Linked DNA regions of Sus scrofa. The protein of the gene in region 1 interacts with the protein of each later gene in a biochemical or structural test. Links are inferred from orthologs where the notes say so. Each region holds a gene or a part of one and is shown on either strand. Other genes may lie near its edges.

The links.
Region 2: of the proteins of USP33 (region 1) and ARRB2, one has a biochemical effect on the other in vitro, tested with the Homo sapiens proteins (2 studies listed by BioGRID, with this or other methods). The link is inferred for Sus scrofa from reciprocal best matches to the Homo sapiens genes USP33 and ARRB2.

Annotation. Positions count from the first base shown.
Region 1 is NC_010448.4:135,565,896-135,569,710, forward strand, and holds part of USP33 (ubiquitin carboxyl-terminal hydrolase 33), read left to right. Parts: coding exon 1-166; exon of another isoform or gene 167-271; coding exon 272-366; intron 367-1,016; coding exon 1,017-1,050; intron 1,051-3,491; coding exon 3,492-3,537; intron 3,538-3,815. UniProt on the Homo sapiens protein: Deubiquitinating enzyme involved in various processes such as centrosome duplication, cellular migration and beta-2 adrenergic receptor/ADRB2 recycling.
Region 2 is NC_010454.4:52,167,736-52,171,650, reverse strand, and holds the start of ARRB2 (beta-arrestin-2), read left to right. Parts: upstream 1-1,288; 5' UTR 1,289-1,395; coding exon 1,396-1,418; intron 1,419-3,915. UniProt on the Homo sapiens protein: Functions in regulating agonist-mediated G-protein coupled receptor (GPCR) signaling by mediating both receptor desensitization and resensitization processes.

The DNA.
Region 1 (3,815 bases):
TAACCCTCGAGACCTTTCAAGATCTATCCTTGCCTATCCCTGGCAAGGAAGACCTTGCTAAGCTGCATTCATCAAGTCATCCAACGTCTATAGTCAAAGCAGGATCATGTGGTGAAGCATATGCTCCACAAGGGTGGATAGCTTTTTTCATGGAATATGTGAAGAGGTATGTATGTATTTTGTTTGTATTAATTGATTGTTAAAACCGCTGTTTCTGCTGTACTGGCAGAACATTTCCTTCTTTTTTTTTTTTCTGTCAATAATGTTTCAGGTTTGTTGTCTCATGTGTCCCTAGCTGGTTTTGGGGTCCAGTAGTAACCTTGCAAGATTGTCTTGCTGCCTTCTTCGCCAGAGATGAACTAAAAGGTAAGAAATAAGAAATAGTTTTCATCTATGACTAAACTGTTGTGGGTTATCTAAAATGCTACTAGGGCTAAATATAAAATGTATTCATAAAAGCTAAGTTTCCTGGCAGCCTAAATAGTACTTGCCCATATTGCCACAGTGCCAATTTCTACCATAGCAATATAAATATAAATACTATAAATCATATCCTAAAACAATTTATACAAATTCCTATAGTACTAGACAATATGGTATTTGAAGTGGCTTAAATCTGCTCTGGGATTCAAAGAAAAGAAAATTCAGCCAATATAAAACACTGGCTTCTATATCTGGATTGGTCTGTGAATTCCTCCCAAGTATTTAAGGTTCTTCACTACTTTTATGTGTCAGCATCTTGCTTCGACATATAACAGGCAGTCAGTAGATTTTGTTCAGTGAATAAATGGACAGGTAGGCCTTCAGGGTCAAAAAGAGAGGGAAGTGAAGGGTGTTGTAGGCAGGATAAGCATCATGCCCTGACTCTTGAGCAGAGACTGAAAAAAGTCAGCCTTGTGTTGCTGTGCTCCAAGGTCAGCATGTGGCAAACTTGAAGAATTGCAGAACAAAAAAAAAAAAAAAAAAACAACTTGCTTTTAATTTGAGAGGAATGACCAGATCTGTTCTATTTTCAGGTGACAATATGTACAGTTGTGAAAAATGCAAAAAGTAAGTGTTGTTGGCAGTGCTTTTAATTGCACATTTTGTATTTTATTTTTTTCTTTTTTTGGCTGCCCTGAGGCATATATAGTTTCCTGCCAGGGATCAGATCCGAGCTGCAGTTGCACCCTAAGCCAAAGCAATGCCAGATCCTTAACCCACTGTAATGGGCTGGGGATCAAAACTGCATCCCAGCGCTCTTAAGATGCTGCCAATCCCGTTGCACCACAGCAGAAAGTACACATTTTGTATCTTAAGTGGTTGTTTTCTTGTTATTTGAATTGGGCATATGGGATTAATTTCCCACTTTACTTAGAAAAATTAAGCCGGGAAGCTTTGTCTTAGTGAAAAATAAAGAATCCGGTTATTCTGTAAAACAAATCAGATAAAAAAACATTTAACAAATTTGATAGGACTAGCTAAGATGGGAAAGTGTATTTTGAGATATAAGTATGTAAGTTTGCATAAAACATATTCCAAGTATGTTGTAAATATGGACTACGTCATATAATATACATTTTCATTACATAGATTAATTTTGTCATCATAAGTATAGCAGTATTCTCATACAGGTTACCATGCTAACAGGCTAGATTTACAAAGTGAAAGTGACTATAAAGGTACATAGTTTCAAATCTGTGTAAAATTCAGAAAGGTTATACCATCTCTAATGTTACCTGCTGTATAAGAGCAGAATAAGAAGACAGTTAAGAAAAGTTTGATTTTGTCACTAGCTGTCTTTTTCTTTTTCTTTTCTTTTCGGCTGTTTCTTTGGCATGTGTTAGTTCCCCTGGGCCAGGGATTTCATCTGTGCCACAGCAGTGACAATGTTGGGTCCTGAACCTGCTAGGCCACCAGAGAGCTCCACCTTTTTCCATCTTGCAGCAAGTTCAGGCTTTTGGATTGTTTGTTTTGCCCGGTGGCATGTGGAAGTTTCCAGGCCAGGGATTGAACCCACACCACTGCAGTGACAATGCCAGATCCTTAACCTGTTGTACCACGAGGAAATTCCAAGTTCAGGCTCCAAAGTCTTCTTGGTGATGAGTTTGAAAAGAAAAGTAAATGGAGAACTGAAAGCAAGTATGTTTGAGGTAGAATGAACTGGAAAATTTTTCTGAATCTAATAGAAAAATAATAGCCTTCTAATAAGATCTAGAATCTTGGGGTTCCTATTGTGGTTCAGCAGTTTAAGAACCCAGCATAGTGTCTGTGAGGATGCAGGTTCGATCTTTGGCCTCGCTCAGAGGATTAAGGATCTGGTGTAGCCGCAGCTACAGCTTAGTTCACAGCTGTGGCTAGGATCTGATCCCAGGCCCAGGAGCTCTATATGCCACAGGATGGCCAAATAAAAAAAAGAACTTGCATCTACCCTAAAATCCGAAGTAGAGGTCTGTCAAATGTGTATTATTATTGGTAATTACTAATTTTTAATTATTAAAAATTACTTATCTCAAATTATTTGTTTCTATATTTAAGAAGAAAGGTCATAGGGAGTTCTCTGGTGGTCTAGTGTTTAGGACTTGGTTCTTTCACTGCTATAGCCTGGGTTTGATCCCTGGTCTGGGAACAGATACCACATAAAGCCGCTACATAGAGCAGCCAAAAAAAATTTTGTATATACATACAAAAATTTTGTATACACACACACACACGTGTGGTGTGTGTGTGTGTTTAATTGACCTGACTCAGCCAATTCTATGAAATTGGGTTTGTTTTTTTTTTTAAACCCAGTTTTACTTGATATCTGAATGTTATAAAGGTATAGCCAGGCCATAGATAGTAGACTATTTTCATCAAAGAATTATATAACTCCCTACATTTTTATTACTGAAAATCTTAAATTTTTAATTTGGCTGTGCCTACAGCATGTGCAGTTCCCAGGCCAGGGATCGCACCTGCACCACAGCAGCAACCAGAGACACTGCAGTGACAACACTGGATCCTTAACATGCATGCTAGGCAAACTCCCCTAATGATCTTTTTTTTTTTTTTTTGCCTTTTTAGGGTCGCACTTGTGGCACATGGAAGTTCCCAGGCGAGGGGTTGAATTGCAGCTACAGCTGCCAGCCTGTGCCACAGCTACAGCAATGTCAGATCTGAGCTGCATCTTCGACCCTACATCACAGCTCACAGCAACACTGGATCCTTAGCACACTGAGCAAGGCGAGGGATCCAACCCGCATCTTCATGGATTTGTTACTTCTGAGCCGTGACGGAAACTCCTCCCCTAATAATCTTAATTTATATGACTTTTTACAGTAAGGGATTCCAGGGTTTTATTAGTATATACATTTTTAAATTAGTAGCATATAAGACAGTAGTGAGCACTTTTTGTCTGATATCTTTGCGTTTTCTAAAAGGTTTTACTATATATTTGAAAATACTAAAGGTTTTGTAGATACATATGGGAAAAAGTTTATTAAAATTGGTTTCCTTGTTTTACCCCTTAGGTTGAGGAATGGAGTAAAGTTTTGTAAAGTACAGAAGTTTCCTGAGGTATGGGCTTTATCACAATTCAGTTTATTTTGTGTGGTAGGAATATAAGGCATTAACATAACACAGTGTAGTAAATTTTTTTATCATTGGTTGAAGAATAGAATGGTTCCATTGGCCAGTTGCTGTCTTTATTAAGATTATCCATTTTTTAAATGCCGAGTTGCATACTAAGTAAGTGCCTTTACCAGTAAAACTGTATTGAACATGGTTTAATCCAACACTGTAGGGTCTTGCAGGTATAAAGTATAAAATTGGAAAAGCCAGTAGATACGAACTTA
Region 2 (3,915 bases), on another chromosome or scaffold:
GTTGCAGACGCGGCTCGGATCCCGCGTTGCTGTGGCTCTGGCGTAGGCCGGTGGCTGCAGCTCCGATTCAACCCCTAGCCTGGGAACCTCCATATGCCGCAGGAGCGGCCCAAGAAATAGCAACAACAACAACAACAAAAAGACAAAAGACAAAAAAAAAAAAAAAAAAAAACAAAACCCACTACTGGATCGACCGCCCTCCTCCAGGAGAGGCGCCCCCCCATTGCCTGCTCTACAAAACCCTTCACACTCTGTTCCACTCATCCAACCCAGTCTTATCACCCCTGCCCTCTCACCCTACAAAAACCTCAAAACAGGATGTGCCTCGCCTTTCTCTCTCTTCAGAATACCCTTTCTCAATTTCCGCCCACCCTTCAGGAAGATTATCCTCAAATGCCCCCTCCTCTGGACAGCCTGCCCTCCCTCCATTCCTCCCCCAGGAAAGGGCTGAGAGTCGCTTTGTCTTCTGAGTCATATCTCTAGTAAAGCATTCCTGGGATCATAGTACCTGTTTATGTGTCTCCTCAACCATACGAGGAAGGCAGGGGCCATGTTAATTCATTTCTGGGTCCCCATCGCCTAGCTTAGTGATTAGCGCAAAATGGGCATAGATAGATGAAATAGATGCAAGCGTGCGTGAATGGATGTTCGCTTTGATGAATGGGTGGAAAAAGGTAGGAAAGTAGCCCTGCGAAGATCAAATACCGACACTAGGGGGAGCTGACACATCACGCTAAGGAAACAGGAGGGCGGGCCAAAGAAGGAAACAAGCTCTAGGGTGAGCGGGCGAGCGGCGCGCAATAAGCGAGCATCACGCAACTGGAACCTCTCGCCCACGTGTGGATCCCCTCATCCTCCCTGCCAGACTGCTAGAGCTCATCCACCGCCCCCACCACCCCCTTCGCCTCCGCCGTCGCTGAGAAAGCAAACAAAGGGGCGGGGACCCCTGCAGGGTCCGGAATGGATAAAGCCAATCAGAGGCTCTTATTTCCTGAAGGCGGGCGCCTTCGTTTGAGGGGACCCAATCAGTGCCTAAGCGGGCGCGGAGGGGTGGAGAGATGGGCGGGAAGAGCAGAGTGCAGGGACCGCGCGCGCCGGGGAGGGGGGGTCCCTCGGCCGGGGTGGAGATGGGGGGCGGAGGGCGGCTGGAGGAGCCAATCACAGCGAGTGCCTGTGAGGAGAGGGCGGGCAGTGCCGGGGCGCGCGCGATCCGGGCTGACGCATTTGGCCTAGGCTCCCCAGGATCCGACGGGGGGGGCGGGAAGGAGGGGAGAGGGGAGTGGAGAAAGAGCGGGGGCGCGCGTGCGCAGTGGCGCGGGGAGGAGCAGGGACCTGGCAGCGGGCTCTGAGGCTGCGAGCGAGCCGCGAACCGGGCGGGCGGCGGGCGCGCGCACCATGGGGGAGAAACCGGGGACCAGGTAAGAGAGGTGGGGCTACGCGGCGGGACGTGGGTGGCGGCTCCAGACGGGTACTGGGACGGTTCCCAGACAAGGACACCCGGGAGAAAATTCAGGGGCCGGACGCCTGGGTCCCTAGGGGGCAGCCATCCGGGGCCGCACGCCTAGGTCCTCGAGGATAATGAGGGCAACGCATGCCACAGACCCTGCAAGGGGATCTCTGAGGGGATCGGGAAACCCGTATCTGGGTTCTCGAAGGGATGTGGGGGCTGGACGACTGGCTTCTCCGATGCAGGCAGCGATGCAGGGGCGGAGGAAGGAGCAGGTGGCCGGCCCCAAGGGGACTGGTATGGGCAGGCTGGATGCCAGGAGGGGGATCCCCTTAGACTCGTGCTGAGCCACTGGAGAGCCTCCTGTCCACTACCCTCCAAGCAGTCGGGCTCCCCCAACCTGTCCCAAGGGCCGGGTGGCTCCGCTTACAAACTTCTGCCTTCCCCTGGGTTGCTAGGAGCAACAGCTTCATCTTGGGGCAGCAAAGTGCCTGGCGACCCTCCCCGATCTGAGCCTTACCCCTCTTCCTGGGGGTGAGGGGAGGCAGTGTCTGCCCTGGGCACGCCATCCACTCCCCGGATGTTTTCTGTGCAATCGAGGCTCCTTCCCTCCACTGACACCTCCAGTTCTCTTTTTTGGTCTCTAGCAAAATCCACTTCCTGTTGTGACCCAACACCCCCAAGGGGGCAGGGGGTGAATGCCTGAGTCCCTGGGGAGCAGGAGCAAAAGAGGAAAAAGATTGGGGCTCTTGGCTTCTATTCAGAGAGGAACAGGAATGGTGGCCTGGTTCTGAGCTGTCACTTATTCTGCAAAACACCCTATCAGCCCCACCAATAGAGTAGGAAAACATAGATCTCTGAGCACCAAGTCGACTGATCCTGGAGAGATGATCAGAGGGCCGATTGGCGTCCTGGATTAGGGGTTAAACACAGAGAAAGGGGAAGTTGCTGACTTGAGGGAGGCCCCAGATTTCCGTTATGTGGTTCAGGGAGGGGGAAGGATGGGACCAAAGGGGGACTGCTGACTTGGCACAATTCCTCCCACCCCCATCAAATTCTGGGCCACAGGAAATGGAGAGAATAGTAGGAAGTGTGAGGGGGCATCTGCTTCGGCTCCCCACCACCACCGGGGGGCATCTCTGGTCACCCACACTCTACCTTCTTGGTCAACCTCAGTGTACAAACGCTGTTCTTCCTCAGCGTGGCAGGAGGCTGGCTGGGTTCGGCTCCAAAGGTCAGGTGCCCTGCAGCTGCTTCAAGGCATTTACCCCACAGCCACACTCCAGTTGTCCAACGGATTGTGGCTGTCACCACCCTCTGCCAGGACTCCTAATTGGAAGAAAACACTGGGCTAAAGAGGAAAACCAGAAGCAAAGGGGAGGGAGAGCTGGATGGTGCCATTGCAGTACAGCCCTCGCGTGGGGACAAGAGATGGGGTGCTTATCCTAGCTGCCACCATACCAGTGTTTGCTCTCCTTTATGGAGAGCCTCCATCCCTTTTGCCTTATGGTCTTTAGATAGATGGCCTTCTGGGAAGAAGGGGCATGGGAAGTTGTTACAGCAGAAACTGGGGTGGTGGAACTGGAAAGAGGGATGGGCCACTTGGCAGGATTTCAATTTTTAGGCCCTGGGGACCCTTCCCAGGCATCACTGCAGAGGCAGAGTGGGCTGGGAGGAGGAAGGTGGATCGGCAAGGAACAGGCCCACAAGTGGCCCGGGCACAGGGGTTGCCAGGTACCTCCCTGCCCTCCCAGCAGTGGCTGGAGTCCAGGCTTAGATTTGTTTCAGCAGCTGGAAAACAAATCCCCTTCCCTCCAACAGACATAATGGCAGTTACAGAGGGAGGACAGGATAATGGTTTAGTGATGGGAGCATCGACTGGGAGCCAGCCTGCCTCTGCTCGTACCTGAATTCCACCGTTTATATTCTCTGTGACCTTAGGCAAAATACTCGACCTCTCCTACGCCTCAGTTTCCTCACCTGTGAAACAGGAACATTAGGACCGCCGTCATGGGGTTGCTAAGAGTACTGAATGAGATAACACAACACGAGACACTTTGCCACAGTGCTGGGCGTGGACCATCCCTCCAATAAGTGTTAGCCAGCATCGTCATCTTTGTCTTATGGCTGCCATTGTGCTGGGTTTGCCGAAACCAGTAAGGCCTCAGCTGCTCACAGTCTGTCTAGGGAGACATGATACACAGCTCACTGCCCTCACACGCTATCCACCACGGGTGAAGCCTCAACAAGGTGTGACAGCAATCCCCCCAGAATCTGGGGGGACTGACTGGAATCTAGGCTAGATCTGCTTTTTGGTTGGTTGGTTTGTTTGCCATTTCTTGGGCTGCTCCTGTAGCACATGGAGGTTCCCAGGCTAGGGGTCGAATCGGAGCTGTAGTCACCGGCCTACGCCAGAGCCACAGCAACGCAGGATCCGAGCCACATCGGCGACCTACACCACAGCTCGT